Anolis sagrei: one gene and its partners. The protein of the gene in region 1 purifies or fractionates together with the protein of each later gene. This does not show direct contact. Links are inferred from orthologs where the notes say so. Each region holds a gene or a part of one and is shown on either strand. Other genes may lie near its edges.

Region 1 (7,948 bases):
ACTGGATGGTATTTTCTGTTGGTCATGGGGGTTCTGTGTGGAAAGTTTGCCCCGATTCCATCGTTGGTGGGGTTCAGAATGCTCCTTGATTGTAGGTGAACTATAAATCCTAGTAACTACAACTCCCAATTGCCAAAGTCTATTTTCCACAAACTTTATCTGTGTTCATATTTGGGCATATGGAACATTTGTGCCAAGCTTGGTCCAGATCCATCATTGTTTGAGTCCACAGTGCTCCCTGGATGTAGGTGAACTACAACTCCCAAACTCAAGGTCAATGCCCACCAAACCCTTCTAGTGTTTTCTGTTCGTCATGGGAGTCCTGTGTGCTAGGTTTGGCCCAATTCCATCATTGGTGGAGTTCAAAATGCTATTTGATTGTAGGTGACCTATAAATCCCAGCAACTACAACTCCCAAATGACAAAATCAATTTTTTTTTTAGTGATGATCAGTTCTTGGGTTAGTAGGCGTCTTGTGGCCAAATTTGGCGGCAATTTGTCCAGTGGTTTTTGAGTTATGTTAATCCCACAAACGAACATAACATTTTTATTTATATAGATTTTGCACTGTTTATTTCATCTTGTTATTTTATGCATTTTGTTATGATGTAATTTTTCTGTTGTTTTGTATTTTATTTTGCTGTATTGTATTTTTGGGCTTGGCCTCATGTTAGCCGCCCCGTGTCCCCTTTGGGGAGATGGTGCCGGGGTACAAATAAAGATTATTATTATTATTACTAGTCATCACCTGCCATGTGTTGCTGTGGTCCAGCCTAGTGATTTAGAAAATAAAGTAACGAGAAAGTGCTGGTTTCTAATATATCTGTAATGTCTTTATGCTTGTGGGTAAACAGTATTTCTTGTTGTTTCTTTGTCAGTGTTGATGTAGCGATTGTCTGGTTTGCCTACGTTGGAACATATAATTGTCCTTCTTTAGGGCTCCCTTTCAAATCTATGGCACTATATCTGTCATATACATATATCTGTGTCTGTGTGAATCATACATAACTATCTATATCTATGGCTGGATGTCTCTTTGTCAGGAGGGCTTTGGTTATGTTTTCTTGCCCCGGTGAAGGGAGGTGGACTGGATGGCCTTAATGCAGCATTTCTTATTCTGGGGGTCGGGATGCCGGAGGGAGGTCATGAGGGGGTGTCGCAAGGGTCATCAGAGTTGCTGTTGTGGTTCTGTGTGGAAGGTTTTGTCCAATTCTATCGTTGGTGGGGTTCAGAATGCTCTTTGATTGTAGGTGAACTATAAATCCTGACAACCCTATATGATTCCGGCCCAGCGTATCTGTCCGAACGCATCTCCATTTACGTACCATCTCGGAGTTTGAGATCCTCTGGGGAGGCCCTGCTCTCGACCCCGCCTCTTTCACAAGTGAGATTGGCGGGGACGAGGAGCAGGGCCTTCTCAGTGGTGGCCCCTCACCTATGGAATTCACTCCCCGGGGAGATCAGATCAGCAACATCCCTCCTTTCATTCAGAAAGAAATTAAAGACGTGGATGTGGGACCAGGCGTTTGGGCAATCTGGCAGATGAATAAGGGACTGTGACGATAGATAGGAACTGGACAAGGTAGAGCGAAACATGAATTCTGAGTTGGCGAACGCTGTGTCTGAGATTGGCTATTGATTGTGTGATATATTGTTGTTTTTAATTGTTTTAATTGTTGACCATTTAATTGCTGGTTTTATATATTATTGTATTTGTGTAGGCACCAAGATGTGCCTTTTGTAAGCCGCCCTGAGTCCCCCCTCGGGGGTGAGAAGGGCGGGGTATAAGTACACGAAATAAATAAATAAATAAATAAACAACTCCAAATTGCCAAGGTCTATTTCCCCCAAACTCCATCTGTGTTCATACTTGTGGATATGCAGTACTTGTGCCAAATTTTGTCAAGATCCTTCATTTTTGAGTCCACAGTGCTCTTTGGATGTAGGTAAACTAACTATAACTCCAAAACACAAGGTTAGTGCCCGCCCAACCCTTCCAGTATTTTCTGTTCGTCATGGGAGTTCCATGTATAAATATGTGAGAGGAAGCCACAGGGAGGAGGGAGCAAGCTTGTTTTCTGCTTCCCTGGAGACTAGGACGCGGAACAATGGCTTCAAACTACAAGAGAGGAGATTCCATCTGAACATTAGGAAGAACTTCCTGACTGTGAGAGCCGTTCAGCAGTGGAACTCTCTGCCCCGGAGTGTGGTGGAGGCTCCTTCTTTGGAAGCTTTTAAACAGAGGCTGGATGGCCATCTGTCAGGGGTGCTTTGAATGCAATATTCCTGCTTCTTGGCAGGGGGTTGGACTGGATGGCCCATGAGGTCTCTTCCAACTCTTTGATTCTATGATTCTGTGTGCCAAGTTTGGTTCAATTCCATCGTTGATGGAGTTCAGAATGCTCTTTGATTGTAGTTGAGCTATAAATCCCAGCAACTACAACTCCCAAATGGCTAAATCATAACTTTTTGAGTGATGGTCACTCCTTGTGTTGTGAGACATTTTGTTGCCAAATTTGGTGTGATTTCGTTCATTGGTTCTTTTGTTTTTATGGAGTATTTATATAGATAGATAGATAGATAGATAGATTAAAAACAACCACACCCAAGTATGTTCATGAGGGTGGAGTAATGGGCCATGCAGGCCTCCTCAAAGGGCGGCCCTCCAGATCTCTGGGCCTCTAACTTCTACAGGCCCTCGCCAGTTTGTTCAATGGCCAGGAATCCTGGGAGCTGGAGGCCTAAGCAAGGAGAGGGCCGCAGCCTGAGCAGGCCTAGCCCAGAGAGTTCTCTGCGGGGCTCCGAAAGCGAGGCCCTTTCTCTCGCGGGGCGCCTTTCCCTCACCTGGTGTCGCCATCGGAAGAGGCTGGGCGTGTCGATATTGGGGTGAGTCTCGTCCTCATCGTCGGACACCTCGATGTGATCCCACACGCTGTAATCCACCATGGCGCTGCGGCTAGTGCGGCCCCTCCTCGGACTTCCGCTATGCCTCGTGCGTCATTTCCGCCAAACTTAGCGCCGCCGCCCCTTTCTTCCCTCCTGCTCGTCTCTGTGACGCTCACTGGGAAACAACAGAGCTACGATAAAATAGAGTGATGCGCCGCCTTGACTTCTGGGACCCACTCTGTGGAATTTTCCCTTTGCTAGGTTCTTGTAGGTTTTTTCGGGTTTTTTCCTTCCAGTAAATATAGAGATCTATATAAATAAAAATGTAATTTTGGGGGAGGGGGGTTCTAATTGAATGTGAATGTTTTTTAAGGTTTTGTGGGTTTTTTCGGGCTATATGATCATGTTCTAGAGGCATTTCTCCTGACGTTTCGCCTGCATCTATGGCAAGCATACTCAGAGGTAGTGAGGTCTATTGGAAATAGGAAAATGGGTTTATATATCTGTGGAATGGCTGGGGTGGGGCAAAGAGCTCTTCTCTGCTGGAGCTAGGTGTGAATGTTTCAGCTGACCACCTTCATTAGCATTTGAAGGCCTGGCTGAGCCTGGGAAAATTCCCCTGTTGAGAGGTGTTTCCTCTTTGCTGTTTTGCTGTTGTAATTTTAGAGTTTTTTAATACTGGTAGCCAGATTTTGTTCATTTTCATGGTCTCTTCCTTTCAGTTGAAATTGTCCACATGCTTGTGGATTTCAATGGCTTCTCTGTGTAGTCTGACATGGTGGTTGTTGGAGTGGTCCAGCATTTCCGTGCTCGCAAATAAAATGCTGTGTCCAGGCTGGTTCATCAGGTGCTCTGCTATGGCTGATTTCTCTGGTTGAAGGAGTCTGCAGTGCCTTTCATGTTCCTTGATGCGTGTCTGGGCAATGCTGCGTTTGGTGGTCCCTATGTAGACTTGTCCACAGCTGCATGGTATACGGTAGACTCCTGCAGAGGAGAGAGGATCCCTCTTGTTCTTTGCTGAACGTAGCATTTGTTGGATTTTCTTGGTGGGTTTGTAGATTGTTTGTATGTTGTGTTTCCTCATCAGCTTCCCTGTGCGGTCAGTGGTTCCCTTGATGTATGGCAGGAACACTTTTCCTCTGGGTGGATCTTCATCTTTACTCTCGTGGCTTGTTCTTGGTCTTGCAGCTCTTCTGATGTCTGAGGTGGAGTATCCATTGGCCTGGAGAGCCCAGTTGAGGTGGTTCAGTTCATCTTGGAGGAGGTGGGGTTCACAGATTCTCAGAACAGACCTCACTACCTCTAAGGATGCTTGCCATAGATTCAGGCGAAACGTCAGGAGAAATGCCTCTAGAACATGGCCCTATAGCCCGAAAAAACCTACAAGAACCTAGTGATTCCAGCCATGAAAGCCTTCGACAATACATTTCCCTTTGCTCTTTTGGCTGGATCTATATGCATGCAATTTATATAGCAGTGTAGCTCCAGTCTACAGTAGAAATAATGCAGCTCGACCCCACTTTAAACTGTCATGGCTCATAGCATCTAGTCCAGACCGTTAATTTTAAAATCTATAGAAATAAAAATGTAATGTTCGTTTGTGGGATTAACAGAACTCAAAAACGAACGAATTGACAACAAATTTGGACACAAAACACCTAATAACCCAATGTATGTCCTTCACTAAAAAAAATGATTTTGTCATTTGGGAGTTGTAGTTGCTGGGATTTATAGTTCACCTACAATAAAGAGCTTTCTGAACTTCACTAATGATGGAATTGAACCAAATTTAGCACACAGGGCTCCCATGACCAACAGAAAATACTGGAAGGGTTTGGTGGGCAGTGTCCTTTGTTTTTATAGTTGTAGTTCACCTACATCCAGAGATCACTGTGGACTCAAACAATGATGGATCTGGACCAAACTACACGAATACTCAATATGCCCAAATGTGAACACTGGTGGAGTTTGGGGAAAATAGAATCTTGACAATTGGGAGTTGTAGTTCCTGGATTTATAGTTCACCTACAATCAAAGAGCATCCTGAACCCCACCAATGACAGATTTGGGGCAAACTTCCCACACAGAACCCCCATGACCGACAGAAAATACTTAAGGCCATCCAGTCCAACTCCCTTCACCAGGGCAAGAAAACGTAATCAAAGCCCTCCTGATAAAGAGCCATCCAGTCATATAGATAGATATATATAATTCACACACAGTGAGCGATATAATATCATAGATTTGAAAGGGACCCCTAAAGAAGGACAATGATATGTCGCATGTTCCAGAGTAGGCAAACCAGACAATCTCCACATCAACATTGACATAGAAAAAACAAGGAATACTGTTTCTTTCTTCTTCTTTACCTCTTTCTTTCATTCTTTTCTTTGCTGTTTGGTTCCTGACCTCATGATCATGGGGAAAAAAGCAAAGTATGGATCATCAGTGTTGTAATCCCAGGCAACAGCAGAATTGATGAGAAGCAACTGGAAAAGCTGACATGGTATGAGGATTTAAAGATCAAACTGCAAAACTGGTACAAGCCAGTAAAGGTGGTCCCAGTGGTGATCAGCACTCTGAATGCAGTGGTTCCAGGATCCACTGTGGATACCAAAATCTACGCATCCTTACATCCATTGCATAGTAAAATGGAATCCCTTCGACAAAATTTAAGTTTTGCATTTTGGATCTTTTTATATATATTGAAGATGTGGATGGTAGAATCCATGGATGCAGAATTTGTAGATGGGGGGTTGACTGTATTATTATAATGTTTTCTCACCTCAGCAGCATAGGATTCTGTCAAGAAATTACCTATCAGGCCATCCTGCCCTTTAGAGGATGAATATCACTCCCCTGTTGGTTTAGGGCAGAGCTTTCCAACCATTTCATGCTGGCAAAACAGTTTTTAGACATGTATCATTGAGCGACACATTAATTCAGTTTTAAGAATAAACCAGACGTTAAACTGGCCTCTTATAAGACACACAGATATTTACACACATTGCAATAATACCAATATGTATGGGGACACAACATAACTCAGGAAAATCTTTCTTTTTCGAAGGCTTTCATGGCCGGAATCACTGGGTTGATTATATGCAAATCAAGGTGGTCAGTTGAAACATTCACACCTAGCTCCAGCAGACAAAAGTCTGCTGGAGCTAGGTAAATCTATCTACCAAACTATCTATCTCTATCTAATCCATTTATCTGGAGAAATGCTGGGAGTTGCAGTCCAGGAAAAGAAAATTGGAAATATGCAGGCAGAGTCGGCCCTAGGTCATTTTCAATGGTAAGCAAACAGTATTTTGCCCCCCCCCCCCCCCTCCCCAACCAATCACTGATATATACTTTCTGTTCATCCTGGGAGTTCTGTGTGCAATATGGCAATATGGTTCAATTCCATCATTGGTGGAGTTCAGAATGCTCTTTGATTGTAGGTGGACTATACATCCCAGTAACTACAACTCGCAAACGTCAAGGTCTATTTTCCCCCAAGAGCGCCTCAAGAGCGCCCCTTGGCAAAATCAACTATATTGCAAATGCTTACTTTGCGTAATGGGTTGAGCCGCCCCTGTATGCAGGAAATCTAAGGAGAAGAAAACTTGCATCTTGGAAGCAGTTCATTTGGATTGTCCTCCTCTCCTAAAGGGCCTGGTATAGGGGATGCTGGGATCTGTAGTCCGGAAGAGAGTGTGGATATGCTATTGTGTGTTTTGTTTGCCGGGGTAGATGTTTTTGCACATGCACTGTAGTATCTTTTGGGGGGGGGGGTTGACTTTTTAAATCCCTCCCACTGTGTTTTTCAGTGTTCTTGTGAGTGATGGTTACTCGCTGGCCTGATAGGTGTATTGTGTCCAAATTTGGTGTTAATTCATCCAGTGGTTTTTGAATTATGTTAATCCCACAAACAAACATTACATTTTTATTTATATAGATTTGTTACCCATGCAGTTCCAGATGCACAAGCTAGACAACCGCAATGGCCAAAGATAAAAGACTGAAATATAAGGACTTGTTGTTTCTGTAAGGAACAGGGTTGTCCCAAGTCATTAGCTGTCAGGGGAAGAGGAGGAAATTCCTGTCTACCTCCCACACCAAAGCAAGCCGTGTTATTTTGGCATCTGAAGCAGAAAATGTCCCTGTTGAAAACACTCTACAAGTAAACTAAACAGTTGTTTTCAGGACACTCCAAATCAGCTGTTTGAAGTTAATGCCACATATTCCCTTCATGGGAAGGCTCCACTATTAAAGACTAATGAACTCCAGGGTTACCATATATAGTAATCATGTGGGATTTTTCTTCATGGTAGAGACTACATTAGTAATACAAAATGGATTGTAAACTTAATGGAACAAAATTACATTATATCAACAATTACAATTACTTCTACTAATAATAATAAACACTGCTACACTAGTCTTACTCCATTGTCACAGGAGAATTGCAATGCCTATGAAATATATTTCTAACTAGCCGTCCCCTGCCACGCATTGCTGTGGCCCAGTCTGGTGATCTGGAAAATAAAGTAATGAGACAGTGTTGGTTTCTAATATATGTAATTTCTTTCTGCTTGTGGGTAAACAGTATTTCTTGTTTCTTTGTCAGTGTTGATATGGAGATGGTATGGTTTGCCTACTCTGGAACATGCAACATGCAAATTGTTCTTCTTTGGGGGTCCCTTTCAAATCTATGATACTATATCTCTGTGTGAATGATATATATCTATCTATATCTATGGTTGGATGGCTCTTTGTCAGGAGGGATTTGATTACGTATTCTTGCCCTGGTGAAGGGTGTTGGACTGGATGGCCTTAAGTATTTTCTGATGGTCATGGGGGTTCTGTGTGGGAAGTTTGCCCCAAATCTGTTGTTAGTGGAGTTCAGAATGCTCTTTGATTGTAGGTGAACTATAAATCCCAGCAAGTACAACTCCCAAATGTCAAGGTCTATCTTCCCCAAACTCCATCAGTGTTCACATTTGGGCATATTGAGTACTCGTGCCAAATTTGGTCCTGATCCATCATTGTTTGAGTCCACAGTGCTCTCTGGGTG
Region 2 (7,005 bases), about 85 Mb from region 1:
TCCATTGCAGAGGGCAGGGATGCGAGCGTACGCTCACAGTTGAATTCTGCCAACTGCCAGAGTACACTCGCATCGCTTCCCTAGCAAGGGAAAACAGGCACACTAGCAAGAGAGAGAGCAGCTCGGGGGGGAAAAGGCGGGGCTTCGGAGCGAGCTCGAGCACAAGCTCGCTCTCTCTTCCAGTAGTTTGCTACGGCTCTAAGACCCGTCGCAAACTCTGTTCCTGCGGGAGCAAACCTTGCTAGCACGTCCCTGACGTCATGAGACTCCGCCTCTCGCCCCGCCCCTTTCTCCGCCTCTTTCTCCTTGCGAGAGTGGTTTTTCCTTTGCTAGGGCAGCATTGCCAGCATACTCTCTCAGTTGGCAGAATTCAACTGAGAGAAAATGCGGGCAATGCTGCCCTAGCAAAGGAAAAACCACACTGGCAAAGAGAAAGGGGCGGAGAAAGGGGCGGGGAGAGAGGTGCAGGCTGATGACGTCAGGGACGTGCTAGCAAGGTTTGCTCCCACAGGAACAGAGTTTGCGACGGCTCTTAAGCACTATGCTTGGCTGTTTGTTGCCCCCCCTCCTTTTTTCTGGCGAACTACCTTGCCACGACTCTGTCGCATCTGCATCTCTCACTCGCTGCGCTGTCTCGGCATTGGGTCCCAGCTACCATACTTTTGCCCAAATTTGAGCGTATTGGGTATTTGTGCCGAATTTGGTCCAGTGAATGAAAATACGTAGAATCATAGAATCATAGAGTTGGAAGAGACCTCATGGGCCATCCAGTCCAACCCCCTGCCAAGAAGCAGGAATATTGCATTCAAAGCACCCGTGACAGATGGCCATCCAGCCTCTGTTTAAAAGCTTCCACAGACTCCAGGGCAGAGAGTTCCACTGCTGAATGGCTCTCACAGTCAGGGAGTTCTTCCTAATGTTTAGATGGAATCTCCTTTCTTGTAGTTTGAAGCCATTGTTTCGCGTCCTAGTCTCCAGGGAAGCAGAAAACAAGCTTACTCCCTCCTCCCTGTGGCTTCCTCTCACATATTTGTACATGGCTATCATGTAAAAATTGTTGGAAGAAACAGTTAACAACCTTAGGTATGCAGATGATACCACTTTGATGGCTGAAAGCAAGGAGGAGCTGAAGAGCCTTCTAATCAAGGTGAAAGAAGAAAGTGCAAAAGCTGGGTTGCAGTTAAACATTAAAAAAGCATGTCTCCTCTCAGCCTTCTCTTCTTCAGGCTAAACATGCCCAGCTCCTTAAGCCGCTCCTCATATGGCTTGTTCTCCAGACCCTTGATCATTTTAGTCGTCTTGTGTATCAAATATTGACTATTCATAACAGTACCAAAATTACAATTGTGAAGTAACAATGGACATAATGTTATGGTTGGGGGCCAACACAACATGAAGAACTCTATTCAGGGGTCGTGGCATTAGGAAGGTTTAGAAACACTGTTCTAAGCTTGGACGAATAGTAGCAGCAGAGTGTGTGTCAGGCCACCAATACTAGGTTTGGGTTACAGCAGGCAAATGCAAATTGTGGCCTTCCAGGAGTTTTGGACTTCAACTCCCACCATTCCGAACAGCCTCAGGCCCCTTCCTTTCCCCCCTCAGCAGCTTGGGTGTGATCTTGGACTCATCACTGAGCCTGGAACCCCAGGTTTCGGCGGTGACCAGGGGAGCATTCGCACAATTAAAACTTGTGCGCCAGCTGCACCCGTAATTTGGGAAATCTGACTTGGCCACGGTAGTCCACGCACTGGTTACATCCCGTATAGACTACTGCAACGCTCTCTACGTGAGGTTGCCTCTGAAGACTGCTCGGAAGCTACAAATGGTCCAACGATCGGCAGCCAGGCTGTTAACAGGAGCGGCACTCAGGGAGCACACCACTCCTCTGTTGCGCCAGCTTCACTGGCTGCCAATCTGCTACCGGGCACAATTCAAAGTGCTGGCTTTAGCCTTTAAAGCCCTAAACGGTTCTGGCCCGACCTATCTGTCCGAACGCATCACCCCCTATGAACCAGTTAGGACATTAAGATCGTCTGGGGAGGCCCTGCTCTCGATCCCGCCAGCCTCACAAGCACGGCTGGCGGGGACGAGAGACAGGGCCTTCTCAGTGGTGGCCCCTAGGCTGTGGAACGCCCTTCCCGTAGACACTAGATTGGCCCCCTCCCTACTGGCATTCAGGAGAAGAGTGAAGACCTGGCTCTTTGAACAGGCGTTTAATTAAGCAGTGCAATTAATTGATTATTGGAACATGGAATAATGGACAAGGAGGTCGGATTATGACTTTACTGATGAGACGTGATGGATTAGTTATATGGATGTATTAATATTATACTGATGTATTGATGTATTGTTATATTGATGTAGTTGCCATGATTACTGTTTTAAATGCTAATGTTGTGCACTTTGTATACTGATTTGGTTGTAAACCGCTCTGAGTCACCTACGGGCTGAGAGAGCGGTATACAAATGAAGTAAATAAATAAATAAATAAAGCGGCTGAGGGGGGGAAGGAAAGGGCCTGAGGCTGTTCGGAATGGTGGGAGTTGAAGTCCAAAACTCCTGGAAGGCCGCAGTTTGCCCATGCCTGGCGTAGACGCACCCTAAACTTAGGCACGCCTTCCTCAACCCCAGTCCTTCCCAGCCTCGTCACTTTCCCACACAGGAGTTGAAGCAAAGCCTTCCCAGCCTGAGAGGAACAAAACCTTCGCTTCCTTCCTCCCTCACTCTCTCTCTCGCCTTCGAACGCCGCCCTACCCCGGGGCCTACACAGTCGAAGACCCCAAAGAAGCCCCAGTCCCTCTCCAGCCACCGGAAGGCCCCTCGCCCGGCCGGAGGTCCCAAGTTGCCACCCTCAAAAGCCCCAAAGGCGGTGCCCACCTACCTGACAAGCTCGAGCCCCTCCACCACAATACGCCCGGCCCCGCCTAGGTCACGTGAGGCCGCCGCGGCCTATCCGCTCGCGCTCCCCTTTTATCGTGCGGCCAATCGGCACCGGGACTCTCTCGCCAGCAGCGGCCAATCCGCGTTGGCCCCGCCCCCGATGCGCGTCAACTTCTCGGCTCGCCAATCGTTGAGGAGGAGACAGGCGTCGTTCCCGCCCTTCGTCGGCTGACCCAGGCGGTGATTGGCTGTTTGTCTCCCGCAAGGGAATGGGGAGGGCGTAGACTTCCTTTCATTGAGGAGGCCGAGTTGGGTTTGCATCCCAGCCGGGAAAGGGAAGCGGGGGAAGACTTGGAGACTCCGGCTTGGGTTTAAGGCTGCCTGGCGCCGGACGTGACGTAGGAACTGGACCCCTCTCGATTTTTAAAGAGACACGCTCATTAAAAACAGAATACAGTTATTTTATCCATTACTATCAAGTCAATAATATATTGGGTTCTTGTGGGTTTTTTCGGGCTATATGGCCATGTTCTAGAGGCATTCTCTCCTGACGTTTCGCCTGCATCTATGGCAAGCATCCTCAGAGGTTGTGAGGTCTGTTGGAACTAGGAAATTTGGGTTTTTATATCTGGAATGACCAGGGTGGGACAAAGAACTCTTGTCTGTTGGAGCTAGCTATGGATTTTTCAACTGACCACCTTGATTAGCATTTGACGGCCTGGCAGTTTTTTGGTGTGGCTTGTTAGTGCTTAGGGGAATCTTTTGTTGAGAGGTGATTAGCTGTCCCTGATTGTTTCCTCTCTGTTGTTTTGCTGTTGGAATTTGAGAGGTTTTCTAAATACTGTTTGCCAGATTTTGTTCATTTTCATGGTTTCCTCCTTTCTGTTGAAATTGTCCACTTTTTTTTTTTGTCGTGTCAGGAGCAACTTGAGAAACTGCAAGTCGCTCCTGGTGTGAGAGAATTGGCCATCCGCAAGGACGTTGCCCAGGGGATGCCCTGATGATTTGATGTTTTTGTCATCCTTGTGGGAGGTTTCTCTCATGTCCCCACATGAGGAGCTGGAACTGATAGAGGGAGCTCATCCGCCTCTCCCCGGATTCGAACCTGCGACCTGTCGGTCTTCAGTCCTGCCGGCACAGGGGTTTAACCTACTGCCCTATCGGGGGCTCCAATTGTCCACTGACCGCATAGGGAAGCTGATGAGAAAACACAACATACAAACAATCTACAGACCCACCAAGAAAATCCAACAAATGCTACGTTCAGCAAAGGACAAGAGGGATCCTCTCGCTTCTGCAGGAGTCTACCGTATTCCATGCAGCTGTGGACAAGTCTACATAGGGACCACCAAACGCAGCGCCCAAACATGAATCAAGGAACATGAAAGGCACTGCAGACTACTTCAACCAGAGAAGTCAGCCATAGCAGAGCACCTGATGAACCAACCTGGACACAGCATTTTATTTGAGAACACAAAAATGCTGGACCACTCTCACAACCACCATGTCAGACTACACAGAGAAGCCATTGAAATCCACAAGCATGTGGACAATTTCAACAGAAAGAAAGAAACAATGAAAATGAACAAAATCTGGCTACCAGTATTAAAAAATTCTAAAATTGCAACAGCAAAAACAGCAGAGAGGAAACAGGGAGGGACATCTAATTACCTTTCAAGAAGAGTTTGCTCCAGACACAGCCCATTGTATGCTAATCAAGTTGGTCAGTTGAAATATTCACACCTAGCCCAACTGAAAAAAGTCCTTTGTCTCACTCTGGTCATTCCACAGATATATAAACTCTTTTTCCCAGTTCCAACAGACCTCACCTCTGAGGATGCTTGCCATAGATGCAGGTGAAACGTCAGGAGAAATGCCTCTAGAACATGGCCATATAGCCCGAAATAACCCACAAGAACTTAGTGATTCCAGCCATGAAAGCCTTCGACAATACATATCCCATATGCATGGGGGTATTGGGGTAATGATACAAAAGGTTTGCTAGGGTAGACCCTCTTTCACTCAGACTCAGCCCCCCCTCCCCGAATCAAACTCAGCCCCCCCCCCCCCCCCGAATCAAAATCCTGGCTACGGGCCTGATGCAGCCCTACAAGTATATAAGGCAGAGCTTTCCAAAGATTACTTACATGTTGCTGACACACTTTTAGGCCCCTTCTACACAGCTGAATAAAATTCCACATTATCTGCTTTGAACTGGACTATATGGCAGTGTGGACTCAGGGCCCTTCCACACAGCCCTATATCCCAAAATTTCAAGGCAGAAAGTCCCACAATATCTGCCTGGAACTGGTTTATCTGAGTCCACACTGCCATATATTCCAGTTCAAAGCAGATAATGTGGGATTTTATTCAGCTGTGTGGAAGGGGCCTAAGAGATACAACATATTTCATAAAAAGCTCTCTCTCTCTCTCTCTCTCTCTCACACACACACACACACACACACACATATATATATGGGGGGTTTGGGTTTTTTTTTTTTTTGCTTATTTCACATAGATGCAAATCTTTCTCGTTTCGCTCATGTGACACACAACCTACAGGCTGCAGCCAACATAAACATATCGTGACACAGAGGGCCCTTCCACATAACCCTATAGACCAGAATATCTGCTTTGAACTGGGTTATCTGAGTCCACACTCAAATAACATGGGATCTTCAGCCTTGATATTCTGGGTTATATGGCTGTATGGAAGGGCCCAGAGTTTAGAAAGCTCTTCTCTAAAAGAATATTGCTTCCTTTTGGTGCAAGTTTGCATTTTCACCCTGAAACGTAGATAATAGAAATAAAGCACTATACCACTTGTTTTTTTATTGGTTCCATTAGCATATACCTACACAACCTCCTTTCAGAATTTCATTCGGGTATCTAATCTAGCCAAAAATACTTTAAGGTACCTCTGTTGCCACAGCCTCTCCATCATTAAACAGAGACATCGGGAGCAATAATTTCAGGGCCCTTCCACACAGCCATATAATCCAGAATATCTCCTTTGAACTGTGCTATCCGAGTCCATTTATATGCCATATATTCCAGTTCAAAGCTGAAAATGTGGGATTTTATTCAGCTGAGTGAAAAGGGCCTCAGTGTACACTTCTTGCTGCTGGAGAAGTTAGAGTGGGAGAAGAATGAGGACCAGATTTTAAAAAGCATTGTTTACCTGTGATTTTTATACTTGGACCCATTTGGAAAGCTCTGATATAAGGAATAACTTAGCTGCATTTATAATCAGGAGCACACAAGGTTGCAGCATTCAGGTATTTGATATGAAGCTTAATCTTTTATTTAGAACCCTTTTAAAAGGGTTCTAAATAATATGTATTTAGCTGGATGTTTGGATCATTTTCAATACACAGGCATACTTACACTGCTTTCTTAAAGGGGATACATTCCAAGAATTGACCGTCTGCAAGGGCCTTGCTCAGGGAACGCCCAGATGTTTTACCATCCTGTGGGAGGCTTCCCTCATGTCCCCACATGAGAAGCTGGAACTGACAGATAGGAGCTCACCCCAATTCCCGGATTTGAACCACCGACCTTTTAAGATATTAAGATTTGAGTAAATATGGTAATCATTTTGCTTTGAAGTGTGTGTCCAGACTGTGCAATGGTTTTTTGGAATTATGGTTCAAAACTTTCTAACCTATCAGGATTTTATTTTGTTATTGTTAACTAAAGCCACCCCCAGGTCCACAAATCTAAGACTAGGGAAAATAATGCTCACAAATGTTGGTAAGGAGTGATGTAAAAAATGTGGTTAAAGCAGAGAATGCAACAATTTACTGAGAGACAAGAGATGAACATACATTAGTTGTGTCAGGGAATACTTGACCTCCTTTCTGTCCATCCTTGCTGCCTGTGAGGCAGAAGTGGCACAACTGAGTGTCCGAAAAGTTCTATGATTTTGGTAGACTTGGGTGTAATAAAATTTACCATGTCCCCTTCTTCTCCTTCCCATGCCTCACCTCAAGCTGCTGTCCTTCTTCCATATCTCATGCCTCCCTATTGGGTTCTATTGGGTTGGTGATGACGTAGGCATGTGGAGTGATTATTTTAGACAATGCAAAATGATTGTAACCAACTGACAACAAAGTAAGTGGATCT
Region 3 (7,995 bases), on another chromosome or scaffold:
CTTGCACTTGGTTTTCTTCTACAGTTTACTGAAGTCAGCTTTCTTAAAGTCTAGAATGCATGTTAACCATGCTTCATTCCCCCTTTCTGCTGTATAACAAACTCTAGAAGAACATGGTTACTCCCACTTAAGGAATCCACTATCTCTATCCCATTTACCCTGTCATCACTGTTGGTTAGGATCAAATCTAAAATAACTGATTCCCTTGTTGCTTCTTCCACCTTTTGGACCATGACGCTGTCTGCAAGGCAAGTGAGAAACTTGTTGGACCTGATGTTCTTGGCAAAGTTTGTCTTCCAACCAAATTAGGATGGATACCTAATACTTCAGAGGACAAGATCAGAACGTTAGCATTTTTGAAAGGATGTCCATACTGGGAGAGATCAAGCTCGTTTTCAACTGCTCTAGAGACTACGGCATAGAGCAATGGATTGAAATTGGAGGGGAATTGAAATTCCACCTAAATATGGAGGAATTTCCTGATGGTTAGAATAGTTGAATATGCTGTCTCATCACATGATGGAGCCTCTGGCCTGTTGGTAAAGAGGACTGAGTGTCAGATATGTGGACCACAGATAAATGTGAAGATTTTCTGGAATGTTCTTGCCTAGAAAAGGCTCCCCTGAACAGAGGCATCAGGGATCACATTGTAAACATGTTAGATAATGGCATACACCAAAGAATTTCAGCATCTGCTTTCCAAATTATAGCAAAATTTCTGATTGTGTAGATCATGAAACACTATCAATCTGTAAGACTTGAATTCATAAAAGGGTGACTAGAGGTCACTCATGGGGCTGGCCGTGAACAACAGTATGTCAACAGCGTGACATGCATTTACATGACAAGGCATTCTTATAGTTGTGCCAAAAACAGTGCAAACAGTCTTCTGCCTTCGCCACATCCTCTCTGCAAATCATGCAGGCACAAGTGCACCTGTACAATGTGAATCCAAGGTGAGAGTGATGGTGTAAAGTGCACCCTTTACGTAACTATCACTTTTTTCACCCAATGTTTCTGTACCAGCCAATTCTTATGACAGAAGTTATGAGTTGAGTAATGGTTCTTAAAAGTATTTATGAACTTGTATATATTATATATACAAGTTATATATTATATATACCTCATATATTATTCCATTTCAGTACATACATGTATACTTTTTGAAGCAACAAATACGGAGATCTACTGTATACCTAAACAGACTTTTGTTTTCACCTCCAGCGATATTGGTTTTCTACTAACACAGAAAACAGTTTGATTAAAAACTTCAAGAAAAAAATAAAATGCACTTCATTGTGCTGGAAGCAATTTTAAAAACAGCTCTTACATTTCCCCTTTATTATATTTTAGTGTGTGTGTGTATATGTGTGCGTATAATATATATATATATATTTGGGGGGCAATGTTCTTGAAACATCTTAAGAAAATTTATTTTAAAATATGTATATTGTAATTTATTCAGATGGTGTATATAGAAGTAAGGTGTATATATAGAAGTATTTTTCAAAATTGTATAATATTGTTCCATTTTGGTTAACACATTTCTAAATGAAATCAAACTTGTACAATTGGTATCTGTCTAAATAGCCCCCCCCCCCCCACTTGTGCTGATTAGTTGATTCACTGAATTAATTCGATTTACCAATGCATCGGCTCATCATTCAACAACTGACTGAATGGCTGATAATGAGTCTCATTATCAGCATTATCACCACCACCATCAGCATGTAGTTGGGACTAATAAAAGGGCATGCCAGCCACATAGACATAAACAAAAATGTGTTGGAAAAACAAAGTGAGAACTTACTTCTTCATGATCTGGATTTCATGGCACCACCGATCTTTGTTTTTCACACTTAGTTCCAGACGACAAGACTTGATTGCTAACTTTGTACCTAAATCCTGTCTTGCAGAAGAAAGAATTAAAACAGATCACCACAAAAATCACTGCCTTTAACAGCCTCCCTGAACCACAAACCCCAGAATTCTGCAGGAGGCAGAAACTGGATTTAAAGTGGATTCGTTCTCTAGTGTGATGAAGTACTCACTCTCTGCCAGGGTGACATCCCTGTCCACGGCCTCATCAACCCAGAGAAGAAGCATTTACCGTCTTCTGCTTCCCCTTTGCCATCGCTGCACCGCCTTCCCTTAGAATCATAGAGTTGGAAGAGACCTCATGGGCCATCCAGTCCAACCCCCTGCCAAGAAGCAGGAAAACTGCATTCAAAGCACCCCCAACAGATGGCCATCCAGCCTCTGTTTAAAAGCTTCCAAAGGAGGTCTCCACCACACTGCGGGGCAGAGAGTTCCACTGGTGAACAGCTCTCACAGTCAGGAAGTTCTTCCTAGTGCTCAGGTGGAATTTCCTTTCTTGTAGTTTGAAGCCATTGTTCCGCATCCTAGTCTCGCTTGCTCCCTCCTCCCTATGACTTCCTCTCACACCTTTATACATGGCTATAATGTCTCCTCTCGGCCTTCAGGCTAGACATGCTCAGCTCTTTCAGCCGCTCCTCATAGGGCTTGTTCTCCAGACCCTTAATCATTTTAGTCGCCCTATTCTCAACATATTCCAGCTTGTCAACATCTCCCTTCAATTGTGGTGCCCAGAAGAGAGATATTGTCAAGCTGGAATGTGTCCTTTCTTTCCTTTTTCCTCCCTCCTTCCCCACCAAACCCAGCACTCATGGCACAAGCCAGGAGCAGGGCCCTCAAGTCAGTCAAAGGCTGAGGAGCCCCGTCCTCCAATGACCACAACCCAAGGGCGAAACCCCCGCCAAGTTTGCGACCCCGGCGACCCACCCGGTGCTGGTAGAGGGAGACGTTGCCGAAGCCGCCGGTGCCGAGCCGCTCCCGCACCTCCCAGGGCTCGCAGGCCGCCATTCCCGGAGGGCCCCCGCGCCCCGGCCCCGCCGGCAGACCCTCCATCCGCCCCCCCGCCCGCCTGCCTGGGCCAGCCGCGGATCCCCAGGGCAGCCAGCCAGCCAGCTCTCGCGAGACCTGGGACGGGAGCGGAAGTGGCCTCAGGGTGTGGGCTCTTCCCCTTCCGGGAGATGCGCGCAGAGAGAGGGAGAGAAGGTAGACAGCCCTTGCGCAATCGGTATTGAGTTTCTTGATTCTGGAAGGCAGGTGGGAATGGCTGGAGAATATACAAGCAACCCTTAAGACAGGAACAAGATAGGCCGGAAGCATTAGGTTGCTGCGAGTTTTCCAGGCTGTCTGGCCATGTTCCAGCAGCACTGTCTCCTGACTCTTCGCCCACATCTGTAGCAGGCATCCTGTGAGGTCTGTGTATTGTCGAAGGCTTTCATGTCTAGAGTCACTGGGTTGTTGTAGGTTATTTCGAGCTATATAGCTATGTTCTAGAAGCACTCTCTCCTGACGTTTCGCCTGCATCTATGGCAAGCATCCTCAGAGGTTACGACCTCACAACCTCTGAGGATGCTTGCCATAGATGCAAGCGAAACGTCAGGAGAGAATGCTTCAAGAACATGGCCATATAGCCCGAAATAACCTACGACAACCCAGTTGTGAGGTCTGTTGGAAACTAGGCAAGTGAGCTTTATATATCTGAGGAACAGGGGCGGCTCAACCCATCACGCAAAGTAAGCATTTGCAGTATAGTTGATTTTGCCCAGGGGCACTCTTGAGGCGCTCTTGGGGAAAATAGACCTTGACAAATGCAAGTTACTGGGATGTATAGTTCACCTAAAATTAAAGAGCATTCTGAACTCCACCAATGATGGAATTGAACCATATATGGCACACAGAACTCCCATGACGAACAGAAAATATATATCAATGATTGGTTGGTGGGGGGGGGGGGCACCAAAATACTGTTTGCTTACCGTTGAAAATTACCTAGGGCCGCCTCTGCTGAGGAATGTCCAGGGTGGGAGAAAGAACACTTGTTGTTTTTTTGAAGCAAGTGTGACTGTTGCAATTGGATACCTTGATTAGCAAATAATAATAATAATAATAATAATTTTATTCTTATATCCCGCCACCATCTCCCCAAAGGGATTCTAGGTGGCTTCCATGGGGACCAGGCCCAGCAAAAACAGAAGTTAAGATATAGCACAATTAAAATACATTGAATTTCAATAATTAAATTTTGTTTGTGTTTTTAAATACATTACAACTGTACCCTCGGTTCACTTCTGATATGATAAATAAATGTAAATAATTAAAACAATGAAACCTAACAACAAACATCATGAAAACATAAGAACATCAATAACCATCAAGCAGTAGCTGAGAAGAATGGGCGTGTTCAGATCTAGGAGGGCACTAGCAAGGGCTAATGCAACAGAGCTGTAGGGGCGAGTAATAAAGTGCTACAAAGCCGGACAATAAGTTAGAGCTAGAGGGGCCTAGTCAATAGATGAACCGGTTAGTCAAAGGCACATTGCAACATCAAAGTTTTCGGGTATTTTCGGAAGGTGGACAGGGTGGGTGTTACTCTAATCTCCCTGGGGGAAAAGTTCTGGGGGGGGGGGGGCACCAGCTTGAGAATAAAGTCCACCTAGGAAAAATATAAAAATATTCTTACCATACATCAAGGGAACCACTGACTGCATAGGGAAATTAATGAAGAAACATAACTTCCAATCAATCTATAGGCCCTTCCAAGAAAATCCAACAAAAGCTATGTTCAGTAAAGGACAAAAGGGATCCTCTCACCTCTGCAGGAGTCTACCGGATACCATGCAGCTGTGGACATGTCTACAGAGGGACCACCAAATGCAGCATTGCCCAAACACGAATCAAGGAACATGAAAGGCACTGCAGACTACTTCAGTAAGAGAAATCAATCATAGCAGAACACATGATAAACCAAGCTGGGCACAGAATATTATGTGAAAACACAGAAATGTTGGACCACTCTGACAACCACCATAATCAGACTATACAGAGAAGCCATTGAAATCCACAAGTATGTGGACAATTTCAACTGAAAGGAGAAAAACATAAAAATGAACAAAATCTGGCTACTGGTATTCCTAAATACCAGAATCAAGTCAGCAAATAAAGAACAACACTCAGAAACGGGAATTTCAGCCAGCCAACAATCAAGTGCCAGTTAACACCTCCCAAACAAAGAATGCTCCCAGGCAACAATAGCCAGGCTTTTCAGCTGCAAGGCTACCCAATTGCTAATCAAGATTACAGCTGCAAGGCGTTTCGATGCTAATCAAGGTGGACAATTGCAACATTCATACTTGGCTCAAACGACAAGAGTTCTTTCTCCCACCCTGGACATTACACAGATATATGTACACCCCACATGCCTCATTTCCACAGACCTTTGAGCAAACCTTTGGAGAATGCCTGCCACAGATGCAGGTGAAAAATCAGGAGAGAATACTACTAGAACAAATACGCAGATAATCATATACATGAACGTTATTAGGTGCCAACTTTTTTATAGTGTGCTACCGATCTTGTATTCCACCTTGGGGGGAAAGAACAAGGAAAGAAGAGGGGCCCATAGATTTTAAAAAGCATTTTAGCATCCAGTCTCTCTCACACAATAAATAAATACAATAAATCAGTTAAACAATTCAGCATATATTTTTATACCTCTCTACATGCATCCACCACCCATGGGACATATATTCATACTGAATACTCTCCAAATGTATTCTCCCCTACGAACCATCAAGACCACTAAGATCATCTGGAGGGGCCCTGCTCTCAGTCCCTCCACCTTCACAGGCACGGCTGGTGGGGACGAGGGACAGGGCCTTCTCGATGGTGGCCCCTCGACTCTGGAACTCCCTGCCATTAGAGATCAGAACTGCCCCCTCCCTCATGACGTTTAGGAAACTAACAAAGACCTGGTTGTGGAACGCGGCATTTGACAACTGATTTAATTCTTTGCCCACATGAAAGGAGGATGATGAATGGTATTGTGATGGTGTCGGATGATTTGGCTCTTTTAACTGTGATGATAATGTTTTAACATGTATAGTGCTGATATTTTAACCGTGTAATGAAGTGGCATTGTGTTGTTATTGTATATTCTTTGTATGTTAACACATGTTGTGAACCGGTCCGAATCCCTCTTTGAAGGTGAGAGGGTCGGTATATAAAACCTCGAAATAAATAATAAATAAATAAATGAATATTAATTATTCTGATATGAGCATGCATTAAAGATTTCCTCTGACCCACTTCTATTTATCACAGGATGCTGAAACTGCACATGTGTAATGATATCAGTCTCTATAGGTTACGTGCCAATTTACAACTCGGAACTGAGAAAAATCTTGATTTGACAGGTGCTGAAATGATGTGAGGTTTGATAATGGACCCAGTGGAATACAGAGCAGTCATCAAGTTTGTTTACTTGAAAGGCTGCACACCAAAGGAGACTTTTTCTTTTCTTTATTCAACAGATTTGTGCCTCATTTTTTTTGTTTAAATCTAACCGTCTTTTTATGTCGCTGGTGGGCTAGGCCACGCAGTTCTGTTACGACTTGACACAGGTCATCAATTTCTTCAGGTGGAACAGTGTGCAGTGTTTTCAGTATTTTCTGGCAGTTTGTTAAGAGCTCTCTGATCTTCAGAATCTTGCTTCGTTCTCTCACAGTTTCACGATGTTTAAGTAATGGAAGCATGTTTGGATCTTTCAACTGCAAAAGTCACAGACAAGTGTTAATGTTTCATCATTATTTTAACCAAGTTAATCATTTTCACTAAAATTTTCACATATAGAAATTCTGCTTCATATATTATATATTAACAATCTGGAAACACTCCTGGATTGATATATGAGCTCAGATATTATAATAATGAAATGCAGAATCCAGAACTGTGGCCAGAGATAGATGCAATTTGGTACATACTGATGAAAAGCTGAAGGAATGTTCATTATACATGTGTATTTTTCCTTCAAAGATATAGAAATATGTGTGTGAGTGATCAGAGTCCCCAAATGTAGTTTATGTTTTTCTTCATAGACTACTAGCTTTTCCTGCCACGCGTTGCTGTGGCCAGCCTTCTCTCCCTCTTTCTCTGCTTCTTTCACTCCTTCCTTCATTCCGTTTTCTTCTTTCCTTTCTTCCTTCTCTACCTGGTTACTTCCTTCCTTAGCTGTTTGCTTTCATCCTTCCTTCTCCTTATTTCTTTTCTTCCCTGCGTCTTTCTCTCCTTCTTTCTCTTTTTCCTTTGCTGCGTCTTTCCTCGCTTCCCTTTTTTCTTTCCTTCTCTCCTCCTTCCTTCTGTACCTCTTTCCTTCCTCCTCCCTTTTTTCCTTCCTCTTTGTCTCCTTTCTTCTTTCTCTTTCCTTCCTTCCTTCGCTCTGTAGTTCCATACTTCCTTTTCTTTCTTTCTTTCCTTCCCTCCCTTTCTCTTCTTCATTTGCTTTCTTTCCTCCCTTGCCTTTTCTTCCGTCCTTTCTTCCTTCGTTCCTACACCTTCCCTTCCGCTCCTTTCTTCTTCCTTCCTTCCTTTCTCCCTTGTTTCCCATGCTCCTACTCTCTCTTTCTTCTTTCTTTCCTACCTTTCTTCCCTCCCCTTGGAGAAGATGGCGGCGGTGGAGATGGATGGGGAGGAGGGATGGATTGGGTCAGGGCGGGAAGGGACAGGGCAGGGATTGGAGGGGCGTAGTTTCCTGGGAAGGGGCGTGACCGGCGGAGGAGGAGGGGGAGGAGGGAAGGATGACGTATGGGCGGGTAGGGCCGGGGCAGCGGAGGGTGGGGACGTGGCTGTCTCGGTGGGGGCGTGGGCAGGGGAGGAGGAGGGGGAGGAGGGAAGGATGGCGTATGGGCGGGTAGGGGCGGGGCGGCAGAGGGTGGGGACGTGGCTGTCTCGGAGGGGGCGGGGGAGGAGGAGGGGGAGGAGAGAAGGATGGCGTATGGGCGGGTAGGGGCGGGGTGGCGGAGGGTGGGGACATGGCTGTCTCAGAGGGGGCAGGGGAGGGGGAGGAGGGAAGGATGGTGTATGGGCGTGTAGGGACGGGGCGGCGGAGGGTGGGGGCGTGGCTTTCTC
Region 4 (7,192 bases), about 31 Mb from region 1:
TTGTTTTAAAGTGTTTTTTGCACTACAAATAAGATATGTGCAGTGTGCATAGGAATTCATTTATTTTTCCAAATTATAATCTGGCCCTCCAACAGTTTGAGGGACTGTGACCTGGCCCCCTGTTTAAAAAGTTTGAGGACCCCTGGGTTAAACCCTTGTGTTGTTGAACTGCTGACCTGAAGGTTGCCAGTTCAAATCCGCAATTCGGGGTGAGCTCCCTTCTGTCAGCTCCAGTTCCTGCTAACCTAGCAGTTCGAAAACATGCAAATGTGAGAATTGGCAGGAAAAGTCAAAGAGATGCTTCAAAAAAATTTCCTTGTCTTGAAAATAGAGAAAGCACCTCCTCAGTGCCAGAGATAAGCAGTGGCTCCAGAAGCCGGAAATGAAAGAAGCCTCTGCCTGTTTGTGTGTCTCACTGTATATGACTGTAAAGGCATTGAATGTTTGCCTATATATGCTGTAATCTGCTCTGAGTTCCCTAGGGTGGAATATAAATTAAGTATATTTAAAAATGTATTACAGCTCCTGTGATTCCACAGCACTTTTTTTTTTGTGTCAGGAGCGACTTGAGAAACTGCAAGTTGCTTCTGGTGTGAGAGAATTGGTCGTCTGCAAGGACATTGCCCAGGGGACACCAGATTGTTTTGATGTTTTGTCATCCTTTGTGGGAAGCCGGAGCTGACAGAGGGAGCTCATCTGCGCTCTTCCCGGATTTAAACCTGCAACCTGTCGGTCTTCAGTCCTGCCGGCACAAGGGTTTAACCCATTGCGCCACCGGGGACTCCATTCCATAGCACTGAGCCAACGCAGTTCAAGTGGTGCCAAACTGCATGAATTCTACAGTGTAGACGGAGCCAATGAGGACTTATGGGTGCCTAAATGAAATAAGTGCTGGCCTCTATCAGGGAGAGCATTCCACATTTGGGGTGCCACGACTCAGAAGACCCCATCCCATATCTGAACACTGCATATTAATCTTATTTATGGGACACTGAGAAGCTATTTGGGACTTTACAAGTCATCGCGACCACTTTGAATCCAGATTGGAAATTTGTATTTTGGCAGCCAGTGCTATTTGTTTAAGATTGGCATGACGTGCTGTCGATATGGCCTTCTAGTCAGCAATCAAGTTCCTACACTCTGCAGTTTCTGAGTGTACTTCAAGGGCAGCCCCACACAGAGCCCATTGCAGTAGTCTGCTCAAATATTATTCATTTTTATTGTAAACGGCCTTGTAATCCCATGATATAAGGCAAAGGTAAAGGTTTTCCCCTGACATTAAGTCCAGTCGTGTCTGTCTCAGGGGGTTGGTGCTCATCTCTATTTCTAATCTGAAAAGCCGACGTTGTCCTTAGACACCTCCAAGGTCATGTGGCCGGCATGACTGTATAGCGCGCCATTACCTTCTCACGGGAGCAGTACCTATTGATTTAGTCACACTTGCATGTTTTCGAACTGCTCAGTTGGCAGAAGCTGGAGCTGACAGGTGGGAGCCCACCCCACTCCTTGGATTCGAACCTGCGACCTTTCAATCTGCAAGTTCAACAGCTCAGTGATTTAACCCACTGCGCCACTGGGGGGCTCCTTGATCTAAGGTACACTGTAAATATTTATTTATTATTTATTTATTGAAGCATTTTATTATTTACTAGCCGCCCCCTGCCACGTACTGCTGTGGCCCACTCTGTGTATATGTGTTGTGTGTGTGTGTATGTGTATATATATTTGTGTAGATGTGTGTTTGCGTATATATATATATGTTGTTATGCACATGCATTGTATTGTATATTTTGTTTTTTGGCTGTGTTTTTCAATGTTTTTATGAGTGATGGTCACTTGTTGGCCTCAAATGTGTATTGTGTCCAAATTTGGTGTCAAATCATCCAGTGGTTTTTGAGTTATGTTAATCCTATGAATGAAGATTACAATTTTATTTATATAGTGTATCTTGATATAAGGTAATAGCATTCATCAATTAATAAATAAGACACAAATAAATGTATCTATAGAGTGACTAAGAATGATCAACAGAGACTGATCTAAAGACATAAGGATGCTTCTTCAGGTGTAAAATTAATGCAGTTTGATCCCACTTTAACTGCCACACCCCCATGCTATGGAATCCTGGGATTTGTAGCTTGTGAAGGCCCCAGAGCTCTTTAACAGGGAGACCTTGTAAAACTACAATGCCCAGGATGCCATTGCCTTGAGCCTGGGCAGTTCAAGTGATATCAAACTGCATTAATTCTACGTGTGACCAAAGCAGCCCCCTATCATCCTTCACTATAGGACAAGTTGGCTGGGGCTGATGGGAACTGCAGTCCGGCAATCCCTGAGCATCTACACTACAGATTTAACGCAGTTTGGCCTCCCTTGGAACTATCAGGACTGGGTGATGCAGAACACTGGGAGTTGTAGTTTGACAGAGAAGTGTCCAATATTGCAATAAAACTATAACTCCCACTGCATTCAGCAGTGAAAGCGGTGTCACACTGGATTCATTCTACAGTGTAGATGCAACCTTCCAGGGAGATGAAGCCCAATACAGCTGGAGAGACAAAGGTTGGGGATGATGGGAGGTGCAGTCTATGCCTTTGCCTGGGGATAGGGGTCTCAATTCGGGAAGGAGGAGGAGGAAGAGGAGGAGAAGTCCACGCCTCTCCCCTCCTGCAACTTAAACCAGAGCCGCGGGCGAAATCCGGGCCAGTCTGACCGCATTCCCAGTCCGGAATGACGTCTGGAAGCGACTCTAAACGCCCCCCCCCCCCTTTAAAAAGAAGGTGTGGGTTCCCAAGCCCGAAAAGCGCATTGAAGTGGCTGAGGAGCCGGGCAGGAAGATACCAAGAGAGCAGGAAAATAGGGGGGTCAGTCCGGGAAGGGGAGGAGGGGCCGAACGAGACCATCGGAATGTGGGAAAAGCCAAGGAAAGGGAGACTTCCTACCTCTCGCCCAGAGACAGCCACCATCTTGTGCGAGCGTTCGAAAGGGGGCGGGGCGCCGGGCGTTGACGTCACAATAAGGGGGCGGGGCGCTTTTAGGGGAGAGGAAGGGATTAACCCTTTAATTCCCAAACACAATTATTCAGCTCTCATTTACAAAGAATCAACTGGACATTCAAATGGAGTCCCTTTCAGCTCAATGTTGGGGCCACGAAAAAAATTGGCAACAGTCAAAGGTTTCTGAACGCCACCCATTTACACAGATCTGTTAGCAACAACCTGGAATGCATGCAGTTTTGCAAAAAACTTTAAGCTCCACTTCACTTGCAAATATATTATGGTTACTGCAATCCCTGGTGTCCACTTTTGGGGATTGGATTGGAATGCCTATATTGAGTTTTTCCAGTCTGCAATCCATTATTTTCCTTTCCCTATTTGCTGATAGATTTTAGTCAGGACTAGATTAGATCTCTCCCTGTATCAGTTGCCAAACAAATATGTAAACATCCTGCGGCTCCTCCATGATACATGATGGCAACAGTCTTGGGCAGCAATGGCTCCCAAAGTGACCCATTTAAGGTGGAATTGATGCAGAGCATCTACCCCCCCCCCCAAGTATTTGTAGTTCGCCAAGGGCCGGACAATGGATTCTGCTGCTTCCTGACCCAGCACACATAACTGGGTTCCTGTTTCCCTTCTGTGAATTCTCTGGCTTGTGCACTGGACCCTGGCCCCTGATCAGGGAAATGTAGTTCTCCAAAGGACATTGCCCCACTCTCCACCATTTGCGGATTCCTTGCGGACCTTTCTGCCCTCACTGATTGACTTGATGCCCTATCATCATGAACTTCCTCCACGGACTCAAAAGCCAAGCCGCTTGGGAAGCATGGCCCCCGCCCGTGGGTGCATGCCCTTGTTGCAAAGGATCATACCTCAGGAACTCTGCTGATTGCCTTTATTAATTGCTGTGGGTTTTCTAATAAACTTTACTGGGATGGGGATCTTTTCTATGAAATCTATGAGTTATGAAAGACTGTGAAGAATATATATATGAAGTATATGATATGTAATGAGATGAAATGAAATGAGATGTACCCTCACCCCTTTCCTTGCCTTCCCCCTCTTGAACTTTACCCTATAAAAGAATATGTGACCTGGGGATTACAGTTAAGGAAATCCAATTTCCTTGGAAGAAACTCCATCCATATTGACAATGCATGGACAAATACTGGCAAATCTATGGCTTTGTTCTCAGAGTCAGACAAACAAAAGCCAGAGATTTTGTCAGCCAAAAGCCCGGAAAAACCGACTGATTAAATCAATCATGGTGTTTGTGTATGCTCCCTTGTGTCAAAGGATCTCCTTTGCCTACAGGGTTGAGATCCAGACACCATCCATAGCCACCCTTTTTGCTCATACACATCTTTTATCAAGACCCAGGAAATCCCTTGTTCTCCCCATCCGCCTCCCTGCCGTGAAGAGACAAAAGGTGTTCCATCAGCTGGCAGACGCCTCCCAGGCGTTCCGCCCCTCTGCGCTATCAGACTGAAAGCCCGCCTCCTGGCCGCTGATTGGACAATCTCCGGAGGCGCTCCGAGGGCTCTGATTGGCCCTCTGGAGGCGACAGCGGCCGGCGATTGGAGGGAAGGCGGGACCAGCGGCCAAGCCTCCTCCCAGCTGTTCCGGAGCCGGCCAACCAGGACAGAGGGGACTGACAGGAGGCGGGCGGGAGATTCAAACCAGGATTTCTTTGTTCTGCCTGTATAAATATGCCTGAAATTCACTGTACTGTATGCCTTATGGAGGATTCATCCCTGTAACGCATCCTTTTCAGCTGAATCGCAAAATAAACGCCTCGGTCGTAGACTCCTCTTCAGCCTCTGGCGAGATTGATCTTCAGTAACTTTGCGTCTTCTTGAATTGGCATCCGCTGGCCGCTCGCCAAGGTCAAAGACCCCCTTTGCGGTCTTCTGGGGCCTTCCTCGCTGGGAAAGCCCCCCAAAAGGAGCTCGATATCATTTGGCTTTACCACGAAGGGACTGCTGCTTGAGGTTCCAGACTAAATTATAGCCTAAATTCTCAAGCAGGCGCCTTGGTCTGATTCTTTGGGCCAGCAGCAAAGGAGGAACGGCTTGGGAAAAGAGGCGCCTCTCCCAATTCGGACTTTCATTTGACCAGCTAACCAAAACTACAAATTCTCCCGCAGCCACTTCCTCCCAAGCTCTGACCTAGGGTTTCAGCACAAAGGAGCGCCAGGGAAGCCTTGATCTAAGGACTTCCAGGAAGAGGAACGACCGACGCGGAAAGGGGGGAAGAAAACGTCCGGACGGGTAAGAAATCAACCGCGGGCTGCCTTGGCTGCCAGGTGGGAGGGGATTCTAGGTTTTCTGAACCAGCTTCGGAGTCGGCCCACTGGGGAGGGATTCTCTAGGTCTCGGTAACAAATTCCTGGCGGGGGGTAGCGAACATCCACGTTTGAGGCCTGGAATAGCAACTCAGCTCGCTTTTGCGGACTTGGCTGGAGCTACGCTGGAAAGGGAGCCCTCCCCTTTCGGACTGCCTAGCTGCCAAGGGCTGATCGCCCCGGGCTCTTCTGCTAGGGAACCGTTCGGGCTCTAGCCTGCCTTGCGGTTGGGGGGGCTACCCTGATTAACCACTTCAGTGTGGGGCTACCAGGAGAGATTGGGCGCATGTTATTCCAGGGTCAAACGTCCTGCTTCATCAGAAACATCTTTTGGAAGATACTGGCGGAATGGGGCAGGGTTGCGTCGCCGACGCAGGCCAGTAGGGTAAAAATCGCATGGAGAGGTGGCCCTCCAGGCCCTCAGCAGGTGGAGTTTCGTGGCCCCTCATGGCAGTCGGATCGCTGTGAGGGGGCCAAGAGGACCGAAACCGCCTCTGCCTCATGCTTTTTGCCATGTGCCGGAGGGAGGTGGAAGGGGGGGGGGTAGTTGTGGCCAACTCCTACCATGCAAGGGGAAGGTAACAAAGCCCCAACCCCCCCAGGAAACCCCCTCCAGACCCCTTCACCCTCTCCCTTTGGAAGAAATTGCTTGTTCCCCTACCATCCCATTCCCATTTCCCTTTACCCAATCTCCCTGACTCCTTCCTTCCCTTCCCAACCCCTCCATTTCCCTATTCCCTATTTATGATGCATTTATATGCCCCTCTGTTTGTTTGTTTTTTTTTTCTTCACTGCTCCTTGAGGAAATGATCAGGGAAATTCTTTGCTCTCCTCCTCTCCTGCTTCCTCCTGTGCCACCTTTTTTCCTTCCTTCAGATGGAAAAGGGAGGCATCGCTCATTCCCTCCTTCACCAAGCTACTACATCCCTTTCTTTCAAAAGCTGAATCTTCAGTGCCTGTTTATTTATAATAAACAGTGTTTCCCCTCACCAGGAGAGACCCTGCCACTGATGTGACTCAGCTGCCTTGCAAAAGTCTCTCTCTCTCGCCTGGTTTCCCTGAACCAAGAGCTCTCTCCCTCTCCCCTTCTCTTCTGTGCAACTACAAAACCCATCTTTCAGGGGCAGTCACCAATGTCCCTGCCTTTCCTTTGTTTTTCCCTTCACTCTCCAACTCCCCCTTTTTGCTTTCAAACCCCTCCTCCCTCTCTCCTCTTGCAAACAAAGGGAGGTGTAGGGGGGGGGGGACCTTTTTCCTGCTCCTGTTTCCCTTTGCCAAGTAAAGTTTGCTGGGTTTCTCTCTCTCTCTCTCTCTCTTCTCCCTCCCCTCCCATCTTCTAAGAAGCCAGCATTCTGTGAATTTTTTTTTCCTCTATCCCCCAGAGAAATCCTGCTGCTCCCTCTTACCTCCTTCTCCAAAAACCTAAGGAAGGGATGTTCCAGAAGCATTCCCTCCTGACATTTCACCCACATCTATGGTTAAGTCTCTCTCTCTCACACACGCAGTCCCTCGGATGCTTTTTTCCTTCCTGGCCCTTCCTCCCTCCCCTTTCCCTGAGCGCATGTATGTGTATGTCTAAATTATCCCATTAACTGCCTTAAATATGAGGGGGGGCGTCGAGGTCCAGGGGTCCCCTCTGCACAGTGAAGAGGCCCAGATCGAACTGTGGGACCCATAATCCACTCCTGCCGCTGAGGACAACTACCTGGGTGAGGTGAACAATGGGAGGTCTGTGGACTTTCCTGTGTGGAACCCAGATGGCACAGGAGGATCCCACAGAGAGCAGGACCAGACCCCATGCCGCCCAGAAGAGACAGCCCCTCCTAGAGGCTGATCTGAGCCCCCACGG

The links. The genes of interacting proteins can lie anywhere in the genome.
Region 2: the proteins of CDC37 (region 1) and FER purify together in Homo sapiens (affinity purification with mass spectrometry; 3 studies listed by BioGRID and IntAct, with this or other methods). This does not show direct contact. The link is inferred for Anolis sagrei from reciprocal best matches to the Homo sapiens genes CDC37 and FER.
Region 3: the proteins of CDC37 (region 1) and CHUK purify together in Homo sapiens (affinity purification with mass spectrometry; 7 studies listed by BioGRID and IntAct, with this or other methods). This does not show direct contact. The link is inferred for Anolis sagrei from reciprocal best matches to the Homo sapiens genes CDC37 and CHUK.
Region 4: the proteins of CDC37 (region 1) and ARAF purify together in Homo sapiens (affinity purification with mass spectrometry; 7 studies listed by BioGRID and IntAct, with this or other methods). This does not show direct contact. The link is inferred for Anolis sagrei from reciprocal best matches to the Homo sapiens genes CDC37 and ARAF.

Annotation. Positions count from the first base shown.
Region 1 is NC_090022.1:161,784,109-161,792,056, reverse strand, and holds the start of CDC37 (hsp90 co-chaperone Cdc37), read right to left. Parts: upstream 3,004-7,948; 5' UTR 2,947-3,003; coding exon 2,845-2,946; intron 1-2,844. UniProt on the Homo sapiens protein: Co-chaperone that binds to numerous kinases and promotes their interaction with the Hsp90 complex, resulting in stabilization and promotion of their activity. Inhibits HSP90AA1 ATPase activity.
Region 2 is NC_090022.1:246,895,391-246,902,395, forward strand, and holds the start of FER (tyrosine-protein kinase Fer), read right to left. Parts: upstream 3,007-7,005; 5' UTR 2,882-3,006; intron 1-2,881. UniProt on the Homo sapiens protein: Tyrosine-protein kinase that acts downstream of cell surface receptors for growth factors and plays a role in the regulation of the actin cytoskeleton, microtubule assembly, lamellipodia formation, cell adhesion, cell migration and chemotaxis.
Region 3 is NC_090023.1:141,576,826-141,584,820, reverse strand, and holds the start of CHUK (inhibitor of nuclear factor kappa-B kinase subunit alpha), read right to left. Parts: upstream 3,007-7,995; 5' UTR 2,929-3,006; coding exon 2,803-2,928; intron 1,906-2,802; coding exon 1,811-1,905; intron 1-1,810. Other genes in the region: ERICH6B (glutamate-rich protein 6B), read right to left, coding at 6,411-6,638.
Region 4 is NC_090022.1:192,681,005-192,688,196, reverse strand, and holds the start of ARAF (serine/threonine-protein kinase A-Raf), read right to left. Parts: upstream 3,007-7,192; 5' UTR 2,943-3,006; intron 1-2,942. UniProt on the Homo sapiens protein: Involved in the transduction of mitogenic signals from the cell membrane to the nucleus. May also regulate the TOR signaling cascade. Phosphorylates PFKFB2.